6 linked regions of the Macaca fascicularis genome follow. The protein of the gene in region 6 purifies or fractionates together with the protein of the main gene of each other region. This does not show direct contact. Links are inferred from orthologs where the notes say so. Each region holds a gene or a part of one and is shown on either strand. Other genes may lie near its edges.

Region 1 (4,797 bases), on a different chromosome or scaffold from region 6:
ACCTGGTGCTCAGTGTAGCCCAGGATGCCCTTGAGGGGGCCCTCCGACGCCTGCTTCACTACCTTCTTGATGTCATCGTACTTGGCAGGTTTTTCCAGACGGCAGGTCAGGTCCACCACTGACACGTTGGCAGTGGGGACACGGAAGGCCATGCCAGTGAGCTTCCCGTTCAGCTCAGGGATGACCTTGCCCACAGCCTTGGCAGCGCCAGTAGAGGCAGGGATGATGTTCTGGAGAGCTCCGCGGCCATCACGCCACAGTTTCCCGGAGGGGCCATCCACAGTCTTCTGGGTGGCAGTGATGGCGTGGACTGTGGTCTGGAAAAGGAGGGAGTGAGGCCCTGCAGAGTGCTCCCCACATCACCACCCCTCTACCTCCCTCCCCACCTTGAAAGGAAATTATGGGAGAGCCAGTCCCCAGAAGGCCCAGCCCCCAGGGTTGCATGCAGCCCTGGCCGGGAGGAGGAGCCAGCCCTGCATGAGAAAGGCAGCAGCCTCAGTCCCATTCCCCAGCTCTCATACCATGAGTCCTTCCACGATACCAAAGTTGTCATGGATGACCTTGGCCAGGGGTGCTAAGCAGTTGGTGGTGCAGGAGGCGTTGCTGCAAACAAAGAGGGGGCGCAAGTCAGGGGAGCGTGTCCACAGGGTGCCAGGCTGGCCGCTTCTCCACCGGCCCTGCCTTCCTCACCTGACGATCTTGAGGCTGTTGTCATACTTCTCATGGTTCACACCCATGACGAACATGGGGGCGTCAGCAGAGGGGGCAGAGATGATGACCCTTTTGGCTCCCCCCTGCAAATGAGCCTACAGCAGAGAAGTAGACAGTTATAAACCCGGGTTCTGCCTCTGCAGGGCTGAGCCAGCTTCCCCTACCGCGGGCCCTCCTGCACTCACCCCAGCCTTCTCCGTGGTGGTGAAGACGCCAGTGGACTCCACGACGTACTCAGCGCCAGCATCGCCCCACTTGATTTTGGAGGGATCTCGCCTATGGGGTGGGGGAGACAGGGATAGGACATATTGAGGGACACGAGGTTACCATGTACCCAAGGGAGCCGCACCACCCTAGCTGCCCCCCACAGCACATTTCTCCCACTGCCTTCCACTCACTCCTGGAAGATGGTGATGGGGCTTCCATTGATGACGAGCTTCCCGTTCTCAGCCTTCACGGTGCCATGGAACTTGCCATGGGTGGAATCATACTGGAACATGTAAACCTGGGGGAATACGCAAGGGTGTGAAGGGGCTGCCTGGCAGCCAGGTGGCTCCTCCCACATCAGCTTTGGGGCAGCACTCACCATGTAGTTGAGGTCAATGAAGGGGTCATTGATGGCAACAATATCCACTTTACCAGAGTTAAAAGCAGCCCTGGTGACCAGGCGCCCAATACGACCAAATCTAAGAGACAAGAGGCAAGAAGGCATGAGGAGAGGAGGCTTCTCCACAGTATGTGAGCTGCCCTAGGACACCTCTCCATTAAGAGGGCGAATGCAGCATCTCCTTACCCCCAGCATCTCCTTACCTCCATTAAGAGGTGAATTGTATCTCCCTTGAGCTCCCCTGCCAGGCTGGCCTGGCTTTACGGCATGGCTGCAACTGAAGGCTCCACTGCTGCCTAACACCCCCCGTCATAGGAAGCCCTTCCAGGAGAAGCGGCCATGTGGGGCACTGCCACCCACAGTCTGGGCACAAGCTTTGCACGTGGCATTCAGCACCTCACTATGCCACCCCAGGAATGCTTGCTGCTGCCTAGCTCAGCTTCAAACTGCACCGTTTAAGGAGAAAAGATTTGTACACTCAGCATCACCAAACTCAAAGGGCAGGAGTAAAGGTCAGAAATTAATTGGACAGGGCAAGCCCACCCCTTCTCTAAGTCCCGCCTACAAAAGGGACAGAGATTGGGCCGGGGGAAGAGGGGAAGTTGTTTTTTAACCCCCTAGTCCCAGGGCTTTAATTTGCAAGCTTCCAGTCCTTTCCTAGCTCTTTTCCAGAATTCAGGAGTGGGAGCACAGGTGTGTGCATGTGTGTGGGAGAAGGGATGGGAGACGGCCCAAGCCCAGGCCCCCAGTTACAGAAAGGTCAGCAGCTATATTTATCCTCAGACCAGGGTGCGGTGGGAGATCTGGTTTCTGGAAGACGGAATGGGGAGAAGGGCAGGTTTCCCGAGGCTCCCAGACACCCAATCCTCCGGGTGACATTTACAGCCTGGCCTTTGGGGTGGGGGGTCAACGCTAGGCTGGCAGGGGAAGAGGGGGCCATAAGGTGAGCCGCCGCTGCAGAAAGGGGCCACCGCCAGAGGGGCCATTTTGCGGTGGAAATGTCCTTTTCCAACTACCGATGACTCAGCTCCCCCCGGCTTGGCACCAAGCCACAGCCACCACACCTCTGGAGGGAGGGGACGCAGGAGGACCTCCATAAACCCACTTCTTTGATTTACCAGAGAATTATCTAGAAAAAGCATCACCCGGAGGGGAAATAGGGCTTGCAGCTCAGGGGCCGACTTGAGAGCAGGGGCCGGGAAGCCTCGCTCCACCTGACTTCCCCGCCACACGCGACTCCACCCACCGAGGCAGGAGCGCAGGGTTAGTCACCGGCAGGGTTTCCTAACGGCGGCCCATTCATTTCCTTCCCGGTTGCAACATGGCGGCCGCTCTACCGCAGGCGCAGCCTCCGGACTGGGATGCACCCGCTGCGCACTAGCATCCCGGGGCCTGCGGTGCCGGAGGCCATGGGGGAGGGGCTCCTCTGCGACACGTGACCTCGCAGAGCGCGAAAGGAAAGAAAGCGTCCCCAGCTAGGGGTCCGGGTCGGATGGAATCTCGGGCGGGAGTAGGGACCTCCTGTCCTGGGGACTAGGGAAGGCAGGCCCCGGGCAGATGGCGCCGCAAGGGCGGAGCTGCACAGGGCGCCACAGCCTGGGTGCGGGGCTCCGCCAGGTCCGAGCGCTGACCTTGAGCTCTCCTTGCCGGACGCAGCTACCCTACCCCATACGACAGCAAAGACCCGGAGCCCGCAAGGCTCGTAGACGCAGTTTGCGGGCGGCCCAGGGCCCCCCAGCCACCCACGAACTCACCCGTTGACTCCGACCTTCACCTTCCCCATGGTGTCTCAGGGATGCGCTGCGCGGAGAGAGAGAACAGTGAGCGCCTAGTGGTCCCGGTCGACACCCACGCCTCCCCTCCCCTCCCCCCACCAGCCTCCATGCCCAGCCCGCGCCGCATCACGTCCTCCGCCCGCCCCTGCAATGCGGAGGCAGCCCGGGCCCGGACCCGGACCCTGGCCCGCGCCCACCCCGCAGCGGCGCGAACACGTCCGGCCCACGCCCGCTCCTGCCGCCTTCAGGCCCGTCCCTAGCCTCCGGGCTCCTCTCCGCCCGTCTTCACCTGGCGATGCAAGAGAAAATGCGACTGACTCTCGAACAGGAGGAGCAGAGAGCGCAGGGGGAGGCTGCGGGCTCAATTTATAGAAACCCGGGGGCGCGGCGGCAGGCGGTGACTCTGACCCCGCCTCCCGCCGGGCTCAGCCAGTCCCAGTCCAAGGACTTGAGGCCTGAGCTACGTGCGCCCGTAAAACCGCGAGTAGCGGGGCCCTGCTTTCTCCCTGCTCTTTTTTTTTTTCCGCAGCCGCCTAGTTCAACTGGGCACGCATCAAGCGTGTGGGCCCCGACGGAGGGGGGAAGGGACTGAGACTGGCCCGATGGGAGGTGATCGGTGCTGCTTCCCAGGACTGGAGTGTGGGCAGCAGGAGACTAGGGAGTCAAGGACGGGGGCCCTTACACGCACGGATGAAACAGGACTTTGGGAGCGACTGAGATGGGGAATTGGAGCCCGAGCCCTGCACGGCTCGCGGCTGCACGCGGCCTGCCCCCTCCCCTTTCTTTCAAAGGCTGAGAGGCGGGAAAGTTGGGGAACTTCTCCTCGAGGCTCTGCGGTAGTGACACCGGAATAGCTGAAGCAAAGGGCTAGGAGGGGCCCGTGGGCCCTTCCCAGCCCCCACTTCCCCCTCCCCATCTCCTGGCTCCTGGCCTCTCTGGGACCGAGGCCTGGCCTGGGCACTGGGCAGTGGGGGCCTGGAGAGGAAGGAGGCTCGGGAGGCGGCTTGAGGGGGAGGTTTCTACACGGAAGGTCACGATGTCCTGCAGCCCTGTAGCTTGGACCTGATGATTAGGGCAGACAATCCAGGCCCTGTGTGCACCAGCGGCTCTCCCCGGGCTGGGGCCCCAGGCGGAGGACAGGATGGCTGGTGGGGGCCCAGAGGCCTCCCACAAAGTCACTCCTGGAGCCCCGTGGGCTGTGCTGCCTAGGGTGAGAGACAGTGTGCCTTTCACTCCATCCAGCCCGGGGCGAAGAGCGGGACGTGAGGGCGGAAGTGCCTCCCCGCCCTGGGACGTGCAGGCGAGCCAGGAGCCAGGGACTCCCCTTCACTGGCTTCGCTGGGGGATATTGAGGGCAGGGTGAGTCAAGAAGAGGGAAAAAGTGGGAAAAGAGGTCTTGGGCACATGGTGGGAACAGGCCCCCTGCCCCTTCCCACAGGGTATCCATTTCTCTGGTAGGAGGGCAGAGGGCCAGGTTTGTGAGTGTGGGATGGGAGCGTGCTGAACACTTGTAAGGAAGGGGGTGGGGTGGGGTGGCCTTGGCCCATCAGCAGGTGCATGGGAGGGGGATCCTGGGCCTCTTTGCTGGCCCAGCATAACCTGACACCAGCCCCCTGCCCTTCTAGCTAAAAGCCGTTTGCTAAGTTTAGCCCGCCTGGTGATAATCTTTGCTTAAAAGGCACCCACAGGACTCCAGTCCTTGTC
Region 2 (4,970 bases), on a different chromosome or scaffold from region 6:
ATCTACTTTCTGCCTTCCAAGGTACCACCCTATCCCAATCCACCATCACTCCTTGCCTGGAGTATTTCAATATCTTCTTAACAGGTCACCAGGCTTCCACACTATTCCCACACAGCCCCTCCCCTCTTGACACTGGCAGTGACCTCGGACTGAAATGTTCTTCCCTGGCCCCTCCTTATCCTTCAAATCTTGGCTTCGAAGCCTTTTCTCAGTTTCATTGACCAGCCTATCTAACATTTCCTGACGATTCCCCAGAATATCACCCATTTTATTCTTCTTTACGGACTCATTTCTGGCTCGTAGTAAACGTTCAGTAACTGTTAAGTGAACTGAATCTCTAATTTCTGGTCGTTAATTTGTAGGGACCACTTTCCCGGATTTAAAAAGTGCAGGTGCTCTGGCAGCGTTAAGTCGGTGAAAACAAGAATATTCCGCAAAACAAAAATAACCTGTTTATTCATCAAAAAGTTATTGTTACACTTCTATACTGTCAATTCGTGTGTGAAGCTGTGTCTGATCCAAGACCTCACAGTACAAGCATAGATCCCAATAACTTGTAAACAATATTTTGTTATTCGCAATGCAACCCTGAGCTAACTTTTCAAAAAGTCATTTTTCTCAATTTCCCGTTAGTGAAAGGAATTTAAAAATTCTGTCCAACGTGGTCAATGGACAAAACAAATAAGGACAACAGAAGCGTGAGCCACTGCTAACACAACAGCGACCAAACAATCATGTACTGTACCAGGCGTGTAAAAATCTGGGGGGAAAGGCTCAGTCTTAAGGCTTAAGTCATCGGACACTGGTCCTCTCCCGGGGAATAAAACGGCCTCCTCTGAGAGGGGAATGTCCTGAATTTTCCCTGCAGAGGGAAGGTCACCTACAAGCCCGCATTCGGGCCAGCGCTCCCGAGGGCCCCCTAATCCTCATCTTCCTTTCTGCTCCATCAGACCAGAGACCGTGGCTAAAAGCCCCACTTGCCGGCTCTCAGAGGCTTCCGAGGCGGCGGGGCGGGAGGCGGCTGCCAGTCAAGGACAAGAGAAGACTAAGTCGCGTGGGCCAAAGGAAACAGTCCCGTCAATAAATAAGCCTCTGACCCATGCACCTCACCCTTCCCATCCATACAAGACCTCACCTTCTCCCCGGAGCCGCGGAGACTGTTCTGCTAAACTGTCTGGACCACAACTACCCCCTTGGAGGCCGGGTCGCTTACTCAATATGGCGGCCTCAGCTAACTCTGTCAGCCGGGCCTGGAGAACGGAAAGCCCGGAGGGACTAGAATCCTTGCATTCGATAAGTTTGTCGGCAATTTCCGTCAGCCGACCAGAGGGCGGAGCTGAGGTCGGCCCAGCCCGGAGGCGGGAAGGACAACTTGGACCCGCAGTTCCGCCGGAAGTGGCCGGCAGCCTCGAGGCCGAGCGTCTTCGGTCATCTCCGGCGCTTCTAGGGGCGGTTCCCGTCATCTTCGGGAGCCGTGGAGGTATGAACTTAAGACATGCCCATTTTATTAATTTATTTCCAAACGCAACGAAAGATCCAGGGACAATTTGTGAGCCGTTTAATTCAGGGCCCCCAATTCGTACGTGGAGAAGTGGGAATGCTAACGTACTTTGACCTTTAACCTTCGGTCCGGCGTGGTGGAGGGAAACGCCTCCGTCTCTATATAAGGAATTTTCCGGCTTCTCCGGGCCCTTTTTCCTCTCTTAAGCGCGGGGAGCCCACAACTTGTGCGCTCTCTTTCTGCTGTTTCCCAGCTCTCGGATACAGCCGACACCATGGGTTTCGGAGACCTGAAAAGCCCCGCCGGCCTCCAGGTGCTCAACGATTACCTGGCGGACAAGAGCTACATCGAGGGGTGAGCGGACCGGCTGAGTCGGGGTGGTGGAGGGGTTTCTGGGACCGGGGCCGGGGCCACGTGGCGCAGCGTGTCGGCTGCCGCTGGAGGGAGGGAGACCGGGCCCCAGGGCCCTTTCGAGGATGACGGGAAAGCGCCCCGTGGCCATCTCCCAAGGCCCTCGTGTGGTGCGAGCCCGGCCTCCGGGGAGCGGCTCACGAGCAAAGGAAGGTTAAAATGTGCTTTATTTACACTTAATTCAGCCAGGTGTTTCCACATCGCTGCCCAGTTAATACATGTTAGGTTGTAGATAGAGCAACGTTAGAGATTGCAGTATTTGAGGTCTGCAGACATTTCTCAGGATAGCGCGGTGACCCAAACATATGGTTTGATTTTAAGGAGATAATAAGAAAAGAAAAGCATTAAAGCAATCCTACTGGAGTTAGTGCCCACTAATTAATGTGATGCATAGGCACTGATTATTTATTCGCTGGCGTTTGTTTTTCAAAGGTGTGTGTGAATGTCTCTGTGTCATTGGCAGGTATGTGCCATCACAAGCAGATGTGGCAGTATTTGAAGCCGTGTCCGGGCCACCGCCTGCTGACTTGTGTCATGCCCTACGTTGGTATAATCACATCAAGTCCTACGAAAAGGAAAAGGCCAGGTAAAATCATCTTTGTATCTAGCTGAAGAATAAGACTACTCTCGAAGCTTTATCAGGATGTTCACATGACAAAACTAGACCCAGGCTACTTTAGTTTTGTTGGGGTATTGTAAGCTAAATTTTTCTGTAACCTGAGAAGGCCAAGAGACTGAAGCCCTCCATTTTTTCACAGAACAGGTAGAACATGGACAGCAGCAATTCAACTTTTCCCCACACTGCCCTGCCAATGTGCCTCGACCTTGACCTGGGGGGCCCACCTCTGGGGTGAGAGGGTGGCTCATTCATTCAGTCCTTGGCCATTCTTCTGAAACTGCCAACAAGGGTGGAAGTTTGGGGAAGTGGACTCCAGTTCACTAAGAATGGAACTGAGCATACTTAATGAAATCTCAAACAGAAATGTTCATACTGAAAGAGTAAATCATAGTGAGTATTGAAAATAATGTCTCACATGGTACTAATGCTTGTCGGGTGAGGAGTTGAACATATGATAGTGTTTACCTGGGAGCATGTGAAAGGGTAAATTATTATTGCAAAAGGGATCTAGTGATAAGTAGTGATTAAAACAAGTTATTTTGTATTGTCTGGAAAAGTATGTTATACTAGCTCAATAGTGGTTGAATTTAAATGTTTTTCAAGCCTGCCAGGAGTGAAGAAAGCTTTGGGCAAGTATGGTCCTGCTGATGTGGAAGACACTACAGGAAGTGGAGCTACAGATAGTAAAGATGATGATGATATTGATCTCTTTGGATCTGATGATGAGGAGGTATGGCATCTTCTATAAAGAATATATCGGCCAGACACGGTGGCTCACGCCTGTAATCCCAGCATGTTGGGAGGCTGAGGCGGGTGAATCACGAGGTCAGGAGTTCAAGACCAGCCTGACCAAGATGGTGAAACCCTGTCTGTTCTAAAAATTTAAAAAAATGTGGCGGGTGTCTGTAATCCCAGCTACTCAGGAGGCTAAGGCAGAGAATTGCTTGAACCTGGGAGGCGGAGATTGCAGTAAGCCGAGATCATGCCACTGCACTCCAGCCTGGGCGACAGAGCAAGACTCCGTCTCAAAAAAAAAAAAAGAATACATCGATCAGCAATTTTATCAATGTGGTTAAGCCAAATTGCCTGGATTTGAATCCTGGCTTTAACTTATATGCCTTTTTCAAATTCTGACTGGTTGCATGATGAATAAAATCAAATCACCATCTTTCGGCTGAGTTCGTGATGGATTTGCTTTTTTCTGATTAAGCCAGTCTTTTTTGTGATGACCCCACTAGCTTTAAGCAGAGGACAACCGACTTTCTGAAGTGGATTAATTTTTTTTCTTTACAGGAAAGTGAAGAGGCTAAGAGGCTAAGAGAAGAACGTCTTGCACAATATGAATCAAAGAAAGCCAAAAGTAGGTCATTTGTTTTTAACTTCATTTCATGATAATGTAAGTAATCTTTTTCAAAGCTTGACCTTTAAGTAATTTCCTCCACATTCCTTGAACAGGTCAATATTTTAAAACCTCCTGTAGAAGTTCTTCCACAGCTACTGGTCTGCAGCTGTTCTTATGGTAGCAGTTGTGGCATTCCTCTGTGGGAAAGAAACTGTTAACACAAACACCTCTTTCTTAGCAAAACAGAAAGTGGGCATATGTGTGACAGACACAAGATGTATCTGTAGTTTTGTTTGGCTAAGGAGATAGTCAATCTCAAAACAAATTGAGGTGATTTGTTTGTGTCTTGGAGTAAGGTAACAAAATACAGTTCATTATTTGAATAATGCTGTTTATTTTTTTAGAACCTGCACTTGTTGCCAAGTCTTCCATCTTACTAGATGTGAAACCTTGGGATGATGAGACAGATATGGCAAAATTAGAGGAGTGCGTCAGAAGCATTCAAGCAGACGGCTTAGTCTGGGGCTCATGTGAGTTTAGGCTTTGCCTTTTTTTTTTTTTTTTTTTGAAACTGACATCTGGAATTTGTATACAGCTTCAACCTTCCTCTACAAGACTTTTCTAACTAAGATTTTTCTTAATGCTCTTTTTAGCTAAACTAGTTCCAGTGGGATATGGCATTAAGAAACTTCAAATACAGTGTGTAGTTGAAGATGATAAAGTTGGAACAGATATGCTGGAGGAGCAGATCACTGCTTTTGAGGACTATGTGCAGTCCATGGATGTGGCTGCTTTCAACAAGATCTAAAATCCATCCTGGATCATGGCATTTAAATAAAAGCTTGAAAGATTACCTTTGGCTCTTGAGTATGTTACATAGGAGGGTGGTGTATATATTCCTTTCATTTTGAGGGAAGGAATTAAATGAATATGTGATTCCTAAATAATAAAAATTTGGTTCGGCTTTGTTGTTAGAAAATTGTAGTGCAGGCCAGGTGTGGTGGTTCATGCCTGTAATCCCAGCAATTTGGGAAGCTGAAGTGGGTGGATTGATACCAGGAGGCTAATACCAGCCTGGGCAATGGGGAGAGATCCTG
Region 3 (5,085 bases), on a different chromosome or scaffold from region 6:
AACCCTGGGCGATGCCACTCCCCCCAGGTGTCAGGAACCCCACAACCATACCCCACAGGGCTCACCTGTCACCCCACAGCTTCTTCATCATGTCCTCCACTTTTTTGGCCCGCTCGGCAGGCCCCAACTGGCCCTCCCCTTTGGCAGCAAACTTGGCCACGTACATCTCCGCAAACTGCTTCAGGGTGAAGGCCCACCCATGGAGACCAGACCCGAAGCCCACGGTACCAAGGACAGGATCGATCTGGAAGTATGAGAAATGGGAAGCGACTGTGAGGAGGGCCCCTGGGCAGAGCCTGCAGTTGCGGACTAGGTGCCTCAGGCATGGGCCTCAGACGCTGGATTTCTTCAGTAGACATCAGGTCAAAGTGAAGAAATGATCAGTCATCACGAACAAGGGGGCCAGCCCCTCCACCACCCACAACACCGTTCCTTGCGCTCGCCACTTCCAGCTGCCCAAAGATCAAGGGCTGGGTCAAGAAGGTTGAGAACATTCCAGCCCCCTTCTCTGTCACCCCAACATTCCTGGCAAAAACACACTTCCAGTCCCCTCAGCTCAACTCCGCTCCCCGCCAGCTCCTGCGGTGCCCACTGCGGCGGGCACACCACCCAGCCAGGGAGGGCCGTACCATGATGTTGCCCATGGGGCCGCTCTCGCCCTCGCCGTAGGTGGAGATGATGACGTTCACGTTCTCCACAATGCGCTGGAAGGTCTGGTAGAGCTCCTCGGGCTCCAGCTGCAGCTCCAGCAGGGCACGGTCCATCTTGTTCATCATCAGCACAGGCTTGATGCGCTCCGCAATGGCCTGCCGCAGCACTGTCTCCGTCTGCACACACACGCCTAGGGATGCAGGGCACGGGGCGGCGCTGTCATCCTCAAACAGGGAAGGCCCCGGGTTCTAGGCCCTGCCTCAGGGGGACCCGCTGCTTACCTGACACGCAGTCCACCACAACCAATGCACCATCAGTGACTCGGAGGGCAGCGGTCACCTCCGAGGAGAAGTCGACGTGCCCGGGGGAGTCGATGAGGTTAATGAGGAAGCCGGCGCCGTCCTTGCTCTGCTTGATGAAGTTCAAGTCATTCTCCGAGAGCTCGTAGAAGAGGGAGATGGCACTGATGGAGGGAGGGATCCATCAGGGGGACAGGATGCACACACCTGGCCCAGGGAGGCTGGGATGCTGTCAGAAGCCAGGCTGCTCCTCCCTCCATGACTCATCCCTTGAGAGGCTCCCACAAGACCCAACCCACCCACAAGACCCAACCCACCCTTGTCCTTTGCCTCCACAATACTCTGTCCGAGACAGGCCCCCCGCCCCCCCGACAGGGAACTCCTGGTACCAGCCCCACAGCCAGCTACTCAGAGCCCTCCTGACCAGACACTCTGCCCCACCGACTTGGTCCCCCCAAGACTCATCACACCTGACTCAAAGTAGCAATGAAAAGACCCCGCAGGACAGCAAAAGCCTTCAGAGACTCTGACCCTTCCCTCCTCACTTCTGCCCCTGCTCCAGTGAAAATGAAGAGCTTTAGCCAGAGACCCTCACTATGGTGCCAACCCAGGACAAAAGGCATTTGGGATCACTGTGCTCTGCGCTCACGTTTTAGACTCTCACCCCACTCACGTCAGGGGCCAGAAACTGTCACGGAATGAACGCCATCCAGTGCAACACAAGAGCTTCCCGCATCCTGAGTGCCAGGAACACCCCCCCTTCCAGGTGTGACAGCAAAACCCCTCCAGATATTGTAGGAGTGGCGGCAAGTCCCCCAGGGAAGGAGAACCACTGAGTGAAGCCCCTTCTCAAGAAAATCTTCCGGCTCGCAGTACCCCCAATCCCTGTGACTCTTGATCCCCGTCTCGCTGGACTGAACCTCACTCATTCTCCCATGAATTAAGAAACCAGGAGAAAGAGACGTTGCCTAGTCTCTCCCCGCCCACCCTGGCCCAGTGGCCTCCAGCTGCCAGGCCAACACCTCCCTGCCTGGGTACAGAGGGCACGGGGAGCTCACGTTGACTTGATGGTGATGCAACGCTCCTGCTCATCCTTCCGGGTGTCAGTGAAGCGTGTCTCCCCGGCCCGGGCCGAGGCGATGATGCCCGCCTTGCACACCAGGGAGTCTGTCAGCGTGGACTTGCCGTGGTCCACGTGGGCGATGACAGACATGTTTCGGATGTTGGCCTTCTTGTCCATGATGGCGCGGATCTGGTCTACCGTGAAGTTCACCTGGGCAAGAAGGGGAGGCTCAGACCAGCTCGAGATTTCCAGGAACACGGCTTGGCATGGAGCGTTCGGTCCAAACGAACCAGCATGCCCAAGGCCAGGAGGGGACTGGTGTTGGGGTACCCGAAGCCCACCCAATCCTGCCAGCCTAACACGCCTTGAGAACTACCCCACAATCTCCAAGGATCCACTGTCAACAGATGTCATCCAGAACGGACAACCCAGAAATAAAAGCGCTCAGAAATAAAACTCAGTGGCAACAGATTTCCTTGATACCGCATATAAACACTGAAGAGTTATTAGAGGCCAAACACGCAAGGGGTGAACCTTCTCCCAAAGCCCCCTCCACGTTGTCATCGGGCCACCCAGGCTTCCCCGACCAAAAACTGTCATAATAAAATGCAAGGTCACCCCTCGGCAAGAGGGATCACACAAGGCCACCCACCCCAGGAGATAACGGGGAGCCGGAACGGCCCTAACAGCCACAAGCCTACACCTCGTGTCTCAAAACGAGTCTTTGCACATTTCGGAGTCACAAGGACAAGCGCCTAGGGCCGACAGTTAACAGCATCAGGAGAAGATATTTGGGAGGAAAAGGGGAACCTTTCAGGTGTCGCTTTGCTGGTTCTGCCATTTCCCTGCCGCCCCTAGTCCCCCGGCAGAAAATCGATCTCAAACTCGCGGCCCGCGAGTTACATAAGGCGCCTCCCCGTCTCCCCGCTTCCACCGCGGTGCCCGCCATTACAACGCCTGCCACATCATCATACCCCACCCCCATCCTCCCTAACACCCCAGCTCCAGCCAGGTCTGGGCAAGGTTACGGCGCCCCCGGAAGCGGAGAAGGGGCTCCGTGAACAGTGCGGCGCACAGACATGGCGGCGACCGCTGCCCCAGCCCCGGCTCCTCCGGCTCTGCCGCCGCTACGTCTCCTCCCGGCACGGGCGACCCCAGCGTCTAGGCAGCGTCGGCCCCGCGGAGGTCCCGCCGCCGTTCCGGGACACCAGCGAGGCAGGGTTACTCACCATGGTGGCGGATGGCGGTGGATTCTCCCAGGTAGAACCGAATGAAGCGAGTCGCGCCGAGGATGGCGACGACGACGGCGGAAGAGAACGCTGACGTCAACACTCAGCACTTTATAGGCGGACGCCGGTTGGGCGGGTCATGTGACTGCGCTGCGGAGGCGGGGCGAAGTGACGCCGCGCAAGCGCACGGAGGCGTTCCCGCACAACTCCCCCGTTAACCCATTCGGCGCTGGCGAGGCTGATTTAGGATACAGTCTGGGCGTCTCGGGGATGGTGGTCGCCCTCGGTGTGCAGTGTTCAGGTGCACAAAGCAAAGAGCGCCGTTTTAGCTGAGAATAAGAACCATAGCAACGATATCAGCTTACAAAATGTCCAGCACTTCTATTAAAGCCACATTGCAAGGTGAATAGAGTCTGTGGATTTTACCCAAGTCAATTTCCCGGTTTGGGCGTTGTTATGTAAGCCGATATCCCTGGGAGAAGCAGAAGGAAAAAGGACACTCGCGACGACTATACTGTTTTTCAACTCCTTACCTGCAATTATTTCAAAATAAAAAGATTTATAAGAAGCAGGCATCGGAATCACTGATCCCACAAATGCATACTGAGCATCTATGCACCAGGCATTGTTAGAGGTTTTGTAGATACAGCAGTGGACAAAACACCTTGCTAGCTTGACCACACTGCGTGCACTTCTACTAACTACTAGGATTTCTCTTTGCCTCAGTTTCCTCGTCTGTAAATCGGAGGTGATCAATACCACTCTATTGTTTGAGGTGGGCTAAAACGAACTAAAGACATCTAAAAGAATTAGCACCGTGCCTGATACCCAACGCTCAATAAACGCTATGTATTTTAATTAGCTAAGATTGCTATTAATAAAACATTTATTTCAGGACTGGTTTGCCATGTCCCAGGCACCCGGCTAAGCGCTTTACTGGCACAATTTCATTTTCTAGTTCATTTCCTCTCCAGGGGGAGGCGCAGGAAGACTGTTTAGCATTTGTGTCCTAATCTGACCCTAAGAAACAGTTGAATGTGTTTCATAGCTCATGAATTGGCATTCAATTGAGTATCTCTATTCCTTATGAAAAGCCCAGCCCGCTGTTTAGCACATAGTAGGTACTCAGTATTTCTTGCATGAATGATGTTCTCGCAGTGCAAATGAACCCCCTGCGGCACGTCTTTCCCTAAACTCACTTTGTGAAACAGAAGAGCCACTGCAGTGCTTTTCCTGGGCTGAGAGAGGGGGAGGTGTGGATCCACAAAAAGCAATGCAAATTCCAGCCTGGACTCTAAAATAAACCTGTACACTCCTCCCCCTCACAAATGCTTCGGGCACTTTGCTTTACAAAGCGCTGTCTCAACCTTGGTTTTCATTTAATGGATGATTGCTATTGCTATCACCATTTAACCCGATGGAAAACGGAAAGTATCTTCTGAAAGAATTGAGGCTCCGAAAGGCAGATGGCATGGCAGGGAGCAGATGTGAGCGCCCGGGGTCCCTAACCACCTACACCTGTGCCGGTGACGCGTTTAATGTTAAGTTACAAGTCAAGCGCATGCGCCATTTGGGGGCTGAGTTTTGAGCAGAGAGGTATTCCGTTTCTCGTTCTTAATAATAAAATTCTTCAAAATCTTTAAATGCACTAAGCACCTACTACGTGTTGGGTTCCCTATTGGGCGCTTCGCAGCCGTTTTTTCCTTGCAAGGTGGGGGCATTTCAGAGATGTAATGGAAAGGTTTTCATTGAAAGAGGGGTTAGGCGAGAGGCGGAGGTTGCAGTTAGCCGAGATCGCGCCACTGCACTCCAGCCTGGTGACAGAGCGAGACTCCGTCTCAAA
Region 4 (4,991 bases), about 40 Mb from region 6:
TGTTCATGATGCGATCAGGGTACTCTTCTCGGATCTTGCTGATAAGGAGAGTGCCCATTCCAGAGCCTGTGCCTCCACCCAGTGAGTGGGTCAGCTGGAAGCCCTGCAGGCAGTCACAGCTCTCTGCCTCCTTCCGTACCACATCCAGGACAGAATCAACCAGCTCGGCCCCCTCTGTGTAGTGGCCTTTGGCCCAGTTGTTACCTGCCCCAGACTGACCTGGAATGCAGTCAGGAGAAAAGCTCAATTAACAGGGTATGGAAGATACATGATGTTTCCATCTTTCAACTTTAGAAATAATTCCCTTGGATGTATCTTCTTTCTCCTTCACTGTGATGTATTCTCCCCCCACTGCCCCATAATGTACCAGCAACAGCAGGCACTACCTCTACCCTACCTCTACCCTCCATTAGATTTCAGAATACAGTTCTTAGCACTCCAGTACAACAATCATCTCCTAACTTTTGCTGTGTCCTTGCACCCAAATAAGTTGAACACGATAGTATATCATCTGCTAATATCATCTGTATAACTTACCAAATACAAAGTTGTCTGGTCTAAAGATCTGGCCAAAAGGACCTGAGCGAACAGAGTCCATGGTCCCAGGTTCTAGATCCACCAGGATGGCACGAGGAACATATTTGCCACCTATAAAGAATAAAGTTAAGAGCTGTGAGATCTGGCAGAGGGAAAGGTTTATAGATACACTGGGAATGGAAGACAGCAGGGACCCAAGACTTGTTCCAGGTCCTGCCACCAGGTGGCAGCAGACGTCTTTGGCCCCGACGGTGGTTCACAAAAGGGAGAAAATGATAGATTCACCGAAAGGGGATAAGGCGTGCCAGGAATGGAAAGAGACCCCAGAGAAGTGGGAGACAGGGAAGGGGAACCTGAGCTGCCCGGGCTCTTGCCCTTACCTGTGGCTTCATTGTAGTACACGGAGATGCGGTCCAGCTGCAGGTCGCTGTCCCCGTGGTAGGTGCCGGTGGGGTCGATGCCATGTTCATCACTGATCACCTCCCAGAACTGCCGGGCAGGAGCAACGAGACCACAAGTCAAGTCCCAGTCAACTACGTCCCCAACTACCATTTTATTTCATCTTTTTCTTAACTTTTTTCTTTTTTTTTTTGAGACGGAGTCTCGCTCTGTCGCCAGGCTGGAGTGCAATGGCGCTATCTCGGCTCACTGCAACCTCTGCTTCCCGGGTTCAAGCGATTCTCCTGCCTCAGCCTCCGGAGTAGCTGGGACTACAGGCGCGCGCCACCACGCCCAGCTAATTTTTTGTATTTTTAGTAGAGACGGGTTTCACCATGTTGACCAGGATGGTCTAGATCTCTTGATCCGCCCACCTCGGCCTCCTAAAGTGCTGGGATTACAGGCGTGAGCCACCGCGCCCAGCTTCTTTTAATTTTTAAGACAGGGTCTTCCTCTGTTGCCCAGCCTGCAGTGCAGTGGTGCAATCACGGATCACTACAGCCTGAAACTCCCAGGCTCAACCGATCCTCCCATCTCAGCCTCTCGAATAGCTGGGACCACAGACGCGCGCCACCACACCCAGTTAATTTTTTTTTTTTTTTTTTGAAGAGATGTGGCCGGGGGGAGGGGTCTCGCTTTGTTGCCCAGGATGGTCTCAAACCCCTGAGCGGGAGCGATCCCAATTAGCCCGCCTCAGCCCCACATCTCCCATTTTAATCCCACACGCGCTCAGGCCGTTGTTCTAGGGCCTGGCATCCCGTGTGCCTGCCACACCCTTCCCCTAGACACTCGCTCCCCCGGGAAAGCCACAGCTTTCCCGGCTCGGGATTATGTGCAGCGGGTCCCAAGTGCTCGGTGGGCGGATGGAGGTCGACCATACTTGGATAAGCGCCGCTGTTCTTCCCCCGAGCTGGGCACCGCCCCACCGCGCGGCGCACAAAAGGCTCGGGGCACTAGAAGAGCTGCTGCCGCAGTCGACCACCCCCCACCCTCCACGTGACTGCGGCGCACGCGCAGGTCGAGCCGCCGACAAAAGACTTCGCACGTGGGCGGGGCCAGGGGCAAGAATTCCGCGCGAGGGGCGGGGCCCAGGGTAGCGCGCCCCTCCCGGCGGGCAACGCCGCATTGTCCCCGCGCGCCAGCGGCGCCCTGGCCCCGCCCCGCAGGGCCCCGCCCTTCTGCTACAACGTAGCACCCGCACTTCCTCCCGCCCCTCCCCCGCTACACTGTAACCGCGCGCAAAAAAAAAAAAACCCTTGGCCTCGGAATTTTATTCCTTTGCTAGATTTCTCCCCCTTGATTTAAAGCATTCTTTCTCTCCCATTAAGTCCTGAAGGACTCGTTAAAGAAAACCACACACCCCCATTTTCTCGACATATCAGTTCACGCCCTAAAGAGGTCTCGCTTAGGTGCCATGAAAGCAAGAAAAATTAATCCCGTTCTTATTCTCCTTCCACCCCGGAACAACTACAGGACCGGCCCTCCGGGGTCGCGGGCGCCCTGGGGTCCCTGATCTTTTGTGAATGGTAGCGCCCAGCGCAGCCCACCCTGGCGCATCGCCCCCCGACCTTTGCACTGGAGCTCTCTGCAGCCGCCCGACAGCCTCACCCCTTCCCGCTCCCGTTTGGCCCTAAGAACCCCGCAGGGGGGGCTGGGCGGGATGCACATGGGCAAAACCTCGCCCCGCTTTGTCTCCGACTGTTTCCGCATCTCTCTCCCTGCCCGGTTCTTGGACCGTTAGAAGCCCTTTTAAGTAACATATGTCCTTGGTCTTCCCGCCCCCGAAACCCGAAGAGCCCTTTTACTAGTTTCTCCAAAATGTGCCTGCCAAGAAAAATGATTCCCAGTTTTCCAAAAGCAAATGCTAGTTATTATATATATAAATGTAACAAACTTGGGAGGGGCAAAGCTTGATTAAGAATGGAGAGTGCAAATGCCCCACAACCATTTTTTCATAACTTACCTGGATTTTTCCTTCTAAAAAGAAATAAAAGAGGTGTAAAATTCTTACCTTGGCACCGATCTGGTTGCCACACTGACCGGCCTGGATGTGCACGATTTCCCTCATGGTTAAAATTAATTTTTTTTGCTCGCCTCAAGGAATGTATGGGGCAAGAAAATAAGTAATTTTTTTTCTCTGCAGGTCGCAGGCTGGAAGGTTGGAACGCGCCCCAGACGCTGGAGCAGCGAGGTGCGAACGCGGCGGCAGGAAGGTTCTGAGAGGGAGAAAGGAGAGGGGAGGGCGCGGAGGGAAGGCAGGCTGGGCGGGGCGCGCGTGCGCCGGGGCTGGGAGGCGGGAGAATCGGCCCCGCGCGCGGTCGGGAGACAAAGCCTCATCGAGCCTGGCCCTGATTAGTCGATGCCGGTCATGTACCAGGCGTCCATTGGCCTCTGAGCCAGTGGACGAGCGCAGTCCTCTTTGGGAGTTGTAGTCCCCTATTGTTGTTCACGGTGCAAAATGAAGTGACGAATGGGTGGGTACCGGTTTGGTTTTTGTTGGGTTTTTGTTTTGTAAATGAAAAACGACCTTGCGCAAGATTCCTTTCCTCTGTGCCTGAGGTTTTTGTACAAAAAGTGAGCAGTTCCCGGGGATGCAGGGATTGAGAAGTCTGGGGTTCCAGAAGTTGGGTGGTGAGGTACGCCCTAAAAGCTCCCAGCTGCAGTACCTCTAGGGAAGACAGAATTGCTTAGCTCAGCGAAAAATGGGGAGGAGTGTGGCACCGTGCTCTGCTACCTCTGGCCTTTGGTGACCCAAGTCATGAACTTAAGTAAGCTTCTGCTCTCTCAAATACTTCAAGAAGGGAATCGCCCTCTTGCTATTTCCTTGGAAATTTTCGAGTCATTGTTTTGAAAGAGAAACAAAATTGCAGCAAGGGCTTTTCAGGATAGAGATGTTGTCTGGAGAGTATGTTCAAAGAATAAAATAGTTTAGAGAAACCGACATCGGGGATTTGTGAAACTAGAAGTCTCCATCCACGTAGGAGATCTGGGCCTTAGGGCAGACTTTGAAGACACCTTGATCTTCTTGTCAAACAGGGAACTATGGAATGAGATGCCTGATAGATTTTCAGTTTTTTCAGCCTACCTTTTTATACATGTTAATGAAGTCAGTGGTTTTTCAATTCGCTTATTTCACTGACCAGGTGGCCGCCATTGCAACTCTGCAAGATACCCAGTATTGAAAAAGGAGAGAGGGGAAATTGATGGGGGAAAATTGGATGGGCTCAAGACAGAGTCCACCAGCTTCTTCCCAGAGATTTATTCACTTATTTGATAGTTACTATGTATCCACCAAATTAGGAACTATGGTTACAAAATGATTAATAATTAGTTCCCTGTCCTCCAGGATGTTGCAGTCTGGCCACTCAGAAATGTAGTATCGAGTCAACATCATTGTTCATTCACATTCGATTACACACAGATATATATATATATATATATATATATATATATATATATATATATATATATATAGTATTTTTGGTACAGACAGGGTTTCGCCATGTTAGCCAGGATGGCCTCAATCCCCTGACCTCGTGATTCGCCCGTCTTAGCCTCCCAAAGAGCTGGAATTACAGGCGTGAGCCACCGCGGCGGGCAGATCAATGTATTTCTAAGTTGCCTTCTAAATAAGGGAACATCAACTTGTGTAAGCCCTCTCTTCCCACTTAAAATATAATGCTCTATGTTTTAGGGAAATGAAAACAGTCATTTTGTGGGAGTGGAAATAACTCAAAATACACAATCAGATAACTTGTTTCAATTTGTCTCTATATTAGCTGTAGGATCCTAGGAAAATCCTTTTACTTTGCAGGGCTTCAACTCCTTGTTTGTAAAATCTGCTTATTTGACTGTTGTGGACAGAATTGAGATAACCAACAGAAAGGACTTTATGAATTATGCAAGTGTTATAGTTACCATTTTCTTCATGTCTTATTGTGAGATAATAAAATGGGCCGGGTGCGGTGGCTCACGCCTGTAATCCCAGCACATTGGGAAGCCCAGGTGGGAGGATC
Region 5 (4,334 bases), about 38 Mb from region 6:
AGGCGGGCCAAACCTTGTCTCACACCTCTTCCCCTTCCTGCCAGGCTGTGCTGGGGGCCCTGGGCAGGGCCTTGAGCCCCTTGGAGGAGTGGCTTCGGCTGCACACCTACTTGGCCGGGGAGGCCCCTACTCTGGCTGACCTGGCGGCTGTCACAGCCTTGCTGCTGCCTTTCCGATACGTGAGTCACCAGGCCTGGGGAAGAACAAGACTGCTTCCCTCAAACCTCACTATAGGGTGACTGAGAATAGTCATTTATTTCGTGTTCCAGGTCCTAGACCCACCTGCCCGCCGGATCTGGAATAATGTGACTCGCTGGTTTGTCACGTGTGTCCGGCAGCCAGAATTCCGAGCGGTGCTGGGAGAAGTAGTTCTATACTCAGGGGCCAGGCCTCTCTCTCATCAGCCAGGTGAGGCAGGGTGAGGAGTTGGAGGATAGGGGCTTCCATGGGGCCTTCCATGCAACTCACTTTCTTTTTTTCATAGAAATGGCAGAATCACTGGGGCAGGGTCCTGCGGGAGAGGAGGGGGAGGGGGGAGGCCAGCATGGGCGAGACCTCGGGCATCTGAAATAGCCCATCTGAAACCTAGTAGTGCCATCCAAGAGGGTCCCCAGCTGGCTGAGTCTGAATTTCTGTGCTTCTCTCTAGGCCCCGAGACTCCTGCCCTCCCAAAGACAGCTGCTCAGCTCAAGAAAGAGGCAAAGAAACGGGAGAAGCTAGAGAAATTCCAACAGAAGCAGAAGATCCAACAGCAGCAGCCACCTGCAGGGGAGGTGAGAGGCGAGGGTGGAGCTGGAAGGAAAGTTGCTGTGTGCAGTGATGGGGTGGCTGATGCCTGGGCCTATGTCTTCTCCCTCCCAAGCAGAAGAAACCAAAACCAGAGAAGAGGGAGAAACGGGATCCTGGGGTCATTACCTATGACCTCCCAACCCCACCCGGGGAAAAGAAAGGTACTAGGAGTGGGAAGGGGCTCACCTCTCAGCAGCCCCTTCCAAGTTTTCACCCTATCTTGCTCTGTTCTTGCTCTCACCACTTTGTTTGGTGAGGATTTGCAGACCCCCTCCCCTGCCCCTAGGCCCCTCAAATGCTTGTCCTACGATGTAAGCGACATTCAGAGAGGGAGATCCTGATCCCTCTCTGCTAGCCCGTCTCCTTCCTGGTGCTCTCAGCCACGCACTGAGCCCTCCCTTCCTCTCCCCCAGATGTCAGTGGCCCCATGCCCGACTCCTACAGCCCTCGGTATGTGGAGGCTGCCTGGTACCCTTGGTGGGAGCAGCAGGGCTTCTTCAAGCCAGAGTATGGGGTGAGTGGGCACTGCTGCCCAGGCCCAGAGTGGGTGGGGTGGGGAAGGGCAGGACTGAAGGACGTGTTGCCTGGGAGGGGCTGGGAGAGGTGACCTGAGGCCTTAAACATGTGCCATCCTTCTCCACCATCAGCGTCCTAATGTGTCAGCAGCAAATCCCCGAGGTGTCTTCATGATGTGCATCCCACCCCCCAACGTGACAGGCTCCCTGCACCTGGGCCATGCGCTCACCAACGCCATCCAGGACTCCCTGACTCGATGGTGAGCTCCTATCCGCACCTCCCTCTGGTTCCCTCTGCCTCATCTGGCTCTCTCCTCTTGGCTGACAGCCCCCCAGCCTCTCTCCTTCTGGGTTGGTGCTTACCTCTGCCCCCAGAGGCGCTACACTTCTCTCTCTCATTCCCATCTGATCATGTAGCTTCCTCTCCTAGTCCAGTACTCCCATGCAACACTGCCACTTGCAGACTCTCTTCTCTCCCTTCTTTCTTTATTTAATTTTAATTTAAGTTAATTTAAATTTTTGTGAAGATGGGTTTTCACTTTGTTGCTCAGTCTGGTCTCCAGGTCAAGTGATTCTCCTGCCTCAGCCTCCCAGGGTGCTGGAATTATAGGTGTGAGGCACCACACCCAGCCTATCCCTTCTTTTTCTAGTAACAATAACATTATTTTGAATTTAATTAAAAAAATATATATATATATTTTTTTTTTTTTGGAGACAGAGTCTTGTTCTGTTGCCCAGGCTGGAGTGCAGTGACACCATCTTGGCTCATGGCAACCTCCGCCTCCTGGGTTCAAGTGATTCTCCTGCCTCAGCCTCCCAAGTAGCTGGGATTACAGGAATCTGCCACCGCAACTGACCAAAATATATGAATATATTCTTTTTTTTTTTTTTTTGAGACAGAGTCTCGCTCTGTCGCCCAGGTTGGAGTGCAGTGACCGGATCTCAGCTCACTGCAAGCTCCCCCTCCCGGGTTTACACCATTCTCCTGCCTCAGCCTCCTGAGGAGCTGGGACTACAGGCGCCCGCCACCTCGCCCGGCTAGTTTTTTGTATTTTTTAGTAGAGACGGGGTTTCACCGTGTAGGCCAGGATGGTCTCGATCTCCTGACCTCGTGATCCGCCCGTCTCGGCCTCCCAAAGTGCTGGGGTTACAGGCTTGAGCCACCATGCCCGGCCTATGAATATATTCTTATAAGAAATTTAAATTTTCAAATCCCCTTGACCACCCCCCCACACCTACTTCCTCCCAAGATTTAGCCATTGTTATCACTTTGATGTGTATCTTTCCAGATCTTTCCTATTTACTTACATATACATGTACCCATAGAAATTTATAGTTCTCCTTTTGGGTGAGTCTTTTCTATATTTTAACATAAAGGGTTCACATTACACATGTTATGCGCTAGCTTTCTTCTTACACTTAACACTTTCTCTTGGAGATCTTTCCTTGTCCTTACACACATACCACACATACTGACTTCCTTCTTTTTCATTGTTCCATAATATCCCATAGTGTGGCTATACCATAGTGAAGTCACTCTTTTTTTTTTTTTTTTTGAGACAGAGTTTCGCTCTTTTTGCTCAGGCTGGAGTGCAGTGGCGCAATCTCTGCTCACTTCAACCTCCACCTCCTAGGTTCAAGCGATTCTCTTGCCTCAGCCTCCCAAGTAGCTGGCATTACAGGCACCTGCCACCACACCCGGCTAATTTTTGTATTTTTAGTAGAGATGGGGTTTCACCATGTTGACCAGGCTGGTCTCGAACTCCTGACCTCAGGTGATCTGCCTGCCTCAACCTCCCAAAGTGCTGGGATTACAGGCGTGAGTGAGCTACTGCTCCCAGCCTGGAGTCACTTTTTAATTAATGGTTCTTTCTGGTTTGTTGTTGTTGTTGTTGTTGAAAACCTTACTCTAATGCACATCCCTGTATATCAAGCTTGTCCAGCCTGCAGCCTGTGGGCCACTTGTGGCCCGGGAAGGCTTTGAATGCAGCTTAACACAAATTTGTAAACTTTCTTTAAGCATTTAAGATTGTGTGTGTGTGTGTGTGTGTGTGTGTGTGTTTTAAGCTCATCAGCTATCGTTAGTGTTAGTGTATTTTTATTTATTTATTTTTATTTTTTATTTTTTTTGAGATGAGTGTCGCTCTGTCGCCCAGGCTGGAGTGCAGTGGCACAATCTGGGCTCACTGCAAGCTCCAAGCTCCGCCTCCCAGGTTAACGCCATTCTCCTGCCTCATCCTCCTGAGTAGCTGGGACTACAGGCGCCCGCCACCACACTCAGCTAATTTTTTCATTTTTATTTTTGCTAGAGACAGGGTTTCCCCATGTTAGCCAGGATGGTCTCGATCTCCTGACCTCGTGATCTACCCGCCTCGGCCTCCCAAAGTTCTGGGATTACAGGCGTGAACCACCGCGCCCGGCCAGTGTTAGTGTATTTTATGTGTGGCCCAAGACAGTTCTTCCGTGTGGCCCAGGGAAGCCAAAAGATTGGATACCCCTGCTGTACATGCTTGCTCAAGCATGTGTGGAAGGGTTTCACTGGTGTAGCTATCAAGAAGTGAAACTGCTAGGTCGGCAGGGCACACCTATATTAAGTACGCACAGAAGCTGCCAGGTTGCCCTGCAGAATGGCTTTGCTGATTGATACCTCCAGGAATTGCTGTGAGAGGATTCATTTCCCCACCCTTTCCAAGCCTGAGCATTAGGGTTGCCTAATTAGTTTTGCCAATCTGATGGACAAAAAAATGATACCTCTGTTACTTTACTTTGTACTTTTCTGATTACTATTGAAATTGTACCTATTTCCATATTTCTTGGCCAGTCAGGTTTACCCGTATGTGAATTGTCTGTATCTATCTTTTGCTTGCTTTTCTATTGATTCTTTGTTGTTTTTCTTTTTAATTTTTTTTGAGAATTCTTTACCTGTTCTGGGTATTGATTTTTTTGTTATATATTGTAAATGTTTGTGTTTTATTATTGTGTGGTAGTTTTCCTGTTACTGTAAATGTTTCTCCTGTTTTCTGTTACTAT
Region 6 (4,764 bases):
CCCAATATCAGTGTGCAGATCCTGGTCCGCATTTATAAGATTATCTCGCCAGAAAAAAGGCGTTGCAGCTGGTCATCAAAAATTTTAAATGGCTAGAAACTTAGTGAAAGCAGCGGGGCAGGCGCGAAGGTGCTACCAGATTCGCACGCGGCAGCCCCAGAGCCCAAGCCAGGCCTCGACTCAAGCACGAGGCGAAGGGACTCCTTAAGTGCAAGGCCTCGACCTCTCCCACCCACTTCCAACCCGAAGCTCGGGATCAAGAATCACGTACAGCGGCCAGGGGCGTGTAAGTAATAAAAGGCACGCGAGGGCCATAGCCCGTAAAGAGGCCAGGCCCGCAGGAGCCACACACAGTACTTACCTGTGTTCTGGCGGCAAACCCGTTGCGAAAAAGAACGTTCACAGCGACTACTGCACTTATATACGGTTCTCCCCCACCCTCGGGAAAAGGGCGGAGCCAGTACACGACATCACTTTCCCAGTTTACCCCGCGCCACCTTCTCTAGGCACCGGTTCAATTGCCGACCCCTCCCCCCAACTTCTCGGGGACTGTGGGCGATGTGCGCTCTGCCCACTGACGGGCACCGGAGCCTCACGCATGCTCTTCTCCACCTTGGTGATGACGAGAGCGGGCGTGTGAGGGGGCGGGAACGCAGCGATCTCTGGGTTCTAGGTTAGTGGGAGTTTAACGACGGTCCCTGGGATTCCCCAAGGCAGGGGCGAGTCCTTTTGTATGAATTACTCTCAGCTCCGGCCGGGGCGGGGGGGGAAGAGGAGGGGGAGGGGGAGGCGACGAGGTGGCGGCCTGGAAGGGACGTCCAGAATCTTTCCTCTACCATTGCTAGCTTAGCCCCAAAGGTTGTGTTGAGATTAGGGTGTACCTTCGCCCCCCAATCAGCCTCCTGTCCTCAGCCTTGCTATCTCGCTAGTCCGTGACAAATCCCTAGAGCGTCGTCTTCTGCCGGTCTCAGCCCAGCCCCGGGTTGGCTCCTCCTCCGCCCCGGCTTCCGCGCCCCTCCCGCGTGGCAAGGAGTACCAGGCCCGGGGACCCCGAGGGGCTTGGGGCGAAGGGTCTGGACTGGAGGACTCCTTAACGGCTCACGGACCTGCGAGAGGTTCGGCTCGATGGCCGTGAGCTCGACGAATCCGCTCCTGTGCTGGCCTCTTGGCTCCTTCCATTCAAAGCCAGCTGCTTTTATCAAAGCCCGTAACACGTCATCTCCCCCTGGTACTCCAGATGTCCAGGCTTTCAGTTTAGAATAGACTCAGTCCTACAGTTAGCTTTAGATCTAATTCTAGTTTTGTTACGCCAAAAAGTTCCTGCGAGTGTGTGTGTGCCTCATGGTACTTTTTAAATTAAAAGGTGTACAGTCATTTGATTGCAAACATAAGGAAGCTAAAAAGCTTTCAAATTCAGATTTTCCACGTGATCTCATGTAGAGACTAAGATCTACAGCATCAGCAAGTTTATCCACCCAGTTTCCTAACCCCAACACTTGCTATGAAGTCACAGCTTCTCCTATTTAAATAAGTGCCTATTATATTTAAATAAGTGCTTTCTTTTTCTGTCATCCTATAGATTGTAACTGCATTTTAGCATAAATCTAGGGCAAGATTGGATGAGCTTGGCCGTTTTGGATGGCTATCAAGACAGGCCTTGGGAAATGCTCCTCTGAGGAATGAAGAACGTTTATTTTTAATGAGCTAATTACTAGATCATTATGTTTCTTCTTCCAGCTGTAGAATATTACTGCCCAGCTTCTCGAACAAACTTATTTATTAACAAGTATTTGAGAACCTACTATGTGGCCAACGCTAAGTACTGTGGAGTTCCTTCTGGAGAGGAACCCACAATCAAATTGGAAGAGGAAAACAAGTTGGGAAGCAGTTAAAGGCAAACGCGTATGGTGCTTTCTTGGTTTTTGTATCTTTGTAGTATAAAGTTTTCCTAGTCCATTCGGTTTTCACAGTCCACTTTTTTTTCCTTTTTTTTTTTTCCGGATGGAGTCCTACTCTGTTGCCCAGGCTGGGGTGCAGTGGCGCGATCTCGGCTCACTGCAAGTTCTGCCTCCCAGGTTCAAGCTATTCTCCTGCCTCAGTCTCCGGAGTAGCTGGGGCTACAAGCGCGCCCCACAAATTTTTGTATTTTTAGAAGAGACGGAGTTTCACCATGTTGGCCAGGCTGGTCTCGAACTGCTGACCTCAAGTGATCCACCCGCCTCAGTCTCCCATAGTGCTGGGATTACAGGCGTGAGCCACAGCGCCCAGCCACAGTCAAAAGTTTTTCCTCAAGCCCCTGTGATTGCGGATAATAGTAAACGCTTTATAAATACCTTACAGAGAATGTTTTTTAAAATATCACGCAAGGAATGGCAAAATTACATGAATCCTTGATTTATACCTTAGTAACCTATTGCGCAACACCGACTGGGTGTTCTGAGTATTGCGATAGTGGCTTGCGATAGAGACTTTCATTAGGTGAAGGGAGATCTCAATTCTTGCGTTTAAGAACCAACACTGGACCGGGCGCCGTGGCTCAATGCCTATAATACCAGCACCTTGGGAGGCCAAGGCGGACGTATAACTTGAGGCCAGGAGTTCGAGACCAGCCTGGTCAACATGGTGAAACCCTGTCTCTACTAAAAATACAAAATTAGCCGGGCGTGGTGGCGCATGCCTGTAATCCCAGCTGCTCGGGAGGCTGAGGCAGGAGAATCGCTTGAGCCCGGGAAGCGGAGGTTGCAGTGAGCCAAGATCACGCAATTGCACTCCATCCTGGGTGACGGAGTGAGACCTTGTCTCAAAACAAAACAAAAAACCAATACCTTTGAGCCCATCGGAGCCGTATTATTGTGCGTTGGGGTAGTCGCTGGCCACGAGCATTTTCTCAGGGCAGAGATCACATATCTGCTCTCAGTCCGGCAGGGGTGGGCCGGAAGCTGGAGAGGGACTGGAACGCCGGTCCCGGGGAAGCCCCGCGCTCACCCGGCGCGCCCGGCTTCCTAGGGAGGGAGGCTGGGGCGGCAAGGCGGGCGCGGGTGGTCCTTGCGCCGCGCCAGCTCGCCAGGCCACATCGCTGGCGTTTCTCCAGCGCTGGGTCACCTGCGGGCCGGCGGGGTCCCGCGGCGAACAGCTGAGCGGTATGGATCCGCCACTCGAGCCTCCCCAGCGTCAGGTCGCCAGGGTCCGCCCTGTCTCTCCCCCCACCTTGAGGTCGCTTTTCTTCCGCCTTCTGACTGCGGAAGGAAAGGCCAGGGAGGAGGCAGAAAACCTCACGTGGCTCGGGGTGAGGGTCGGTTTTTGTCACCGTGAGCTGGCCTCTAAAAAACTTTTTAAGTCTCAAGTCTTTTTTTTCCTTCTTATTTTAAATCCCTTTTTCCCCAGACCCTATGTTTTCAACATAATCATAACGGATTCCCCGCACCGTACGGGAGATCCATTATGCTTTTTACTGTCTTAAATGTTAAAGCGGTAACAGTAATGATGTTGAGGCTCGTAAATATGTTTTGGGGTTATAATCTAAGGTGATATTTGTTGAAGGTTTTTCCTTTTTTTTTTTTTTTTGGAGATGGGGTCTTGCTCTGTCGCCCAGGCTGGAATGCAGTGGCGCGATCTCGGCTCACTGCAAGCTCCCCTTCCCGGGTTCACGCCATTCTCCTGCCTCAGCCTCCCGAGTAGCTGGGACTACAGGCGCCCGCCACCACGCCCGGCTAATTTTTTGTATTTTTAGTAGAGACGGGGTTTCACCGTGTTAGCCAGGACGGTCTCGCTTGCTCATAACCATTTAGAGTGACAAACTTAAAATACATTGTAAGTAAACATCTACATGACCCCTTTTAGGAAGAAAAACAATTATTTCAGTTATTTACATAGTAATAAGGCAAACAAGAATCCTTCTTTGAGGTACATAATTGTGATTCACTGAGCTTTCAATATAGTCTAATCACTCTGCTATTAGTCTAATTTAAAGCAGCCTTAAGTAGTTACATTTTGCCATGGCTTGCCACGTGAAAATGATTTTTAAATCTTTTTATCTGCTGTATCTACCGCTGAAGAAAAGATGATAGCCAGGTGTGATGGCTCACGCCTGTAATCCCAGCACTTTGGGAGGCTGAGGCAGGTGGATCACCTGAGGTAAGAGTTCGAGACCAGGCTGGCTAACATGGTGAGACTCCCGTCTCTACTAAAAATACAAAAATTAACCAGGCATGGTGGTGTGCACCTGTAATCACAGCTACATGGGCGGCTGAGGCAGGAGAATCGCTTGAACCTGGGAGGAGGAGGTTGCAGTGAGCAGAAATCGTGCCACTGCACTCTAGCCTGGGTAACAAAGTAAGACTCCATCTCAGAAAAACACTATATATATATGTGTGTGTATACACACACACACACACATATATATATATATATATATATATATATTTAAAGGGGTATTTTAGAATATGATTAAGCCAAGGAACTACTTGGACTGAGAATCCAAATAAAATGGTGTTTTAGTGTGACAGGCACTGTTCTAGTATTTGCAATATTTATTGTAATCCTACCACCCACATGGTATAGATGGAGCAGCAATGGGCAACAGATAGTTTATGCATAATAAGCAAATATAGACATATATTCTTTTTAAAAATTTTACCTTCTTTTTGCACAAAATGGTAAAATACAATGTGCCACCTTGCTTTTTTCACCTAATACAGCTTGGTGATCTTTTTTCGTGGATACCTTAGGGCCCAGCAGATCAGGATTGGAACCAGGGTAATCTGA

What was found.
Region 1: the proteins of EEF1A1 (region 6) and GAPDH fractionate together in Homo sapiens (co-fractionation; 3 studies listed by BioGRID). This does not show direct contact. The link is inferred for Macaca fascicularis from reciprocal best matches to the Homo sapiens genes EEF1A1 and GAPDH.
Region 2: the proteins of EEF1A1 (region 6) and EEF1B2 purify together in Homo sapiens (affinity purification with mass spectrometry; 3 studies listed by BioGRID and IntAct, counting the BioPlex papers as one, with this or other methods). This does not show direct contact. The link is inferred for Macaca fascicularis from reciprocal best matches to the Homo sapiens genes EEF1A1 and EEF1B2.
Region 3: the proteins of EEF1A1 (region 6) and EEF2 fractionate together in Homo sapiens (co-fractionation; 3 studies listed by BioGRID). This does not show direct contact. The link is inferred for Macaca fascicularis from reciprocal best matches to the Homo sapiens genes EEF1A1 and EEF2.
Region 4: the proteins of EEF1A1 (region 6) and TUBB fractionate together in Homo sapiens (co-fractionation; 3 studies listed by BioGRID). This does not show direct contact. The link is inferred for Macaca fascicularis from reciprocal best matches to the Homo sapiens genes EEF1A1 and TUBB.
Region 5: the proteins of EEF1A1 (region 6) and VARS1 purify together in Homo sapiens (affinity purification with mass spectrometry; 3 studies listed by BioGRID and IntAct, counting the BioPlex papers as one, with this or other methods). This does not show direct contact. The link is inferred for Macaca fascicularis from reciprocal best matches to the Homo sapiens genes EEF1A1 and VARS1.

Annotation. Positions count from the first base shown.
Region 1 is NC_088385.1:7,455,461-7,460,257, reverse strand, and holds the start of GAPDH (glyceraldehyde-3-phosphate dehydrogenase), read right to left. Parts: upstream 3,436-4,797; 5' UTR 3,291-3,435; intron 3,119-3,290; 5' UTR 3,102-3,118; coding exon 3,073-3,101; exon of another isoform or gene 2,565-3,072; intron 1,765-2,564; exon of another isoform or gene 1,424-1,764; coding exon of another isoform or gene 1,398-1,423; coding exon 1,298-1,397; intron 1,217-1,297; coding exon 1,110-1,216; intron 988-1,109; coding exon 897-987; intron 807-896; coding exon 691-806; intron 604-690; coding exon 522-603; intron 318-521; coding exon 1-317. UniProt on the Homo sapiens protein: Has both glyceraldehyde-3-phosphate dehydrogenase and nitrosylase activities, thereby playing a role in glycolysis and nuclear functions, respectively.
Region 2 is NC_088386.1:102,092,020-102,096,989, forward strand, and holds EEF1B2 (elongation factor 1-beta), read left to right. Parts: upstream 1-1,690; 5' UTR 1,691-1,775; coding exon 1,776-1,855; intron 1,856-2,375; coding exon 2,376-2,498; intron 2,499-3,134; coding exon 3,135-3,261; intron 3,262-3,665; exon of another isoform or gene 3,666-3,744; intron 3,745-3,824; coding exon 3,825-3,891; intron 3,892-4,017; exon of another isoform or gene 4,018-4,147; intron 4,148-4,277; coding exon 4,278-4,403; intron 4,404-4,526; coding exon 4,527-4,681; 3' UTR 4,682-4,726; downstream 4,727-4,970. UniProt on the Homo sapiens protein: Catalytic subunit of the guanine nucleotide exchange factor (GEF) (eEF1B subcomplex) of the eukaryotic elongation factor 1 complex (eEF1).
Region 3 is NC_088393.1:4,702,918-4,708,002, forward strand, and holds the start of EEF2 (elongation factor 2), read right to left. Parts: upstream 3,329-5,085; 5' UTR 3,246-3,328; coding exon 3,243-3,245; intron 2,224-3,242; coding exon 2,009-2,223; intron 1,115-2,008; coding exon 933-1,114; intron 842-932; coding exon 630-841; intron 396-629; exon of another isoform or gene 330-395; intron 245-329; coding exon 66-244; intron 1-65. UniProt on the Homo sapiens protein: Catalyzes the GTP-dependent ribosomal translocation step during translation elongation.
Region 4 is NC_088378.1:141,932,207-141,937,197, forward strand, and holds the start of TUBB (tubulin beta chain), read right to left. Parts: upstream 3,203-4,991; 5' UTR 3,044-3,202; coding exon 2,987-3,043; intron 1,970-2,986; exon of another isoform or gene 1,856-1,969; intron 1,027-1,855; coding exon 918-1,026; intron 649-917; coding exon 538-648; intron 220-537; coding exon 1-219. UniProt on the Homo sapiens protein: Tubulin is the major constituent of microtubules, a cylinder consisting of laterally associated linear protofilaments composed of alpha- and beta-tubulin heterodimers.
Region 5 is NC_088378.1:139,923,284-139,927,617, forward strand, and holds part of VARS1 (valine--tRNA ligase), read left to right. Parts: intron 1-44; coding exon 45-179; intron 180-269; coding exon 270-408; intron 409-648; coding exon 649-773; intron 774-862; coding exon 863-950; intron 951-1,202; coding exon 1,203-1,303; intron 1,304-1,436; coding exon 1,437-1,564; intron 1,565-4,334. UniProt on the Homo sapiens protein: Catalyzes the attachment of valine to tRNA(Val).
Region 6 is NC_088378.1:101,520,963-101,525,726, reverse strand, and holds the start of EEF1A1 (elongation factor 1-alpha 1), read right to left. Parts: upstream 3,235-4,764; 5' UTR 2,826-3,234; intron 397-2,825; exon of another isoform or gene 362-396; intron 1-361. UniProt on the Homo sapiens protein: Translation elongation factor that catalyzes the GTP-dependent binding of aminoacyl-tRNA (aa-tRNA) to the A-site of ribosomes during the elongation phase of protein synthesis.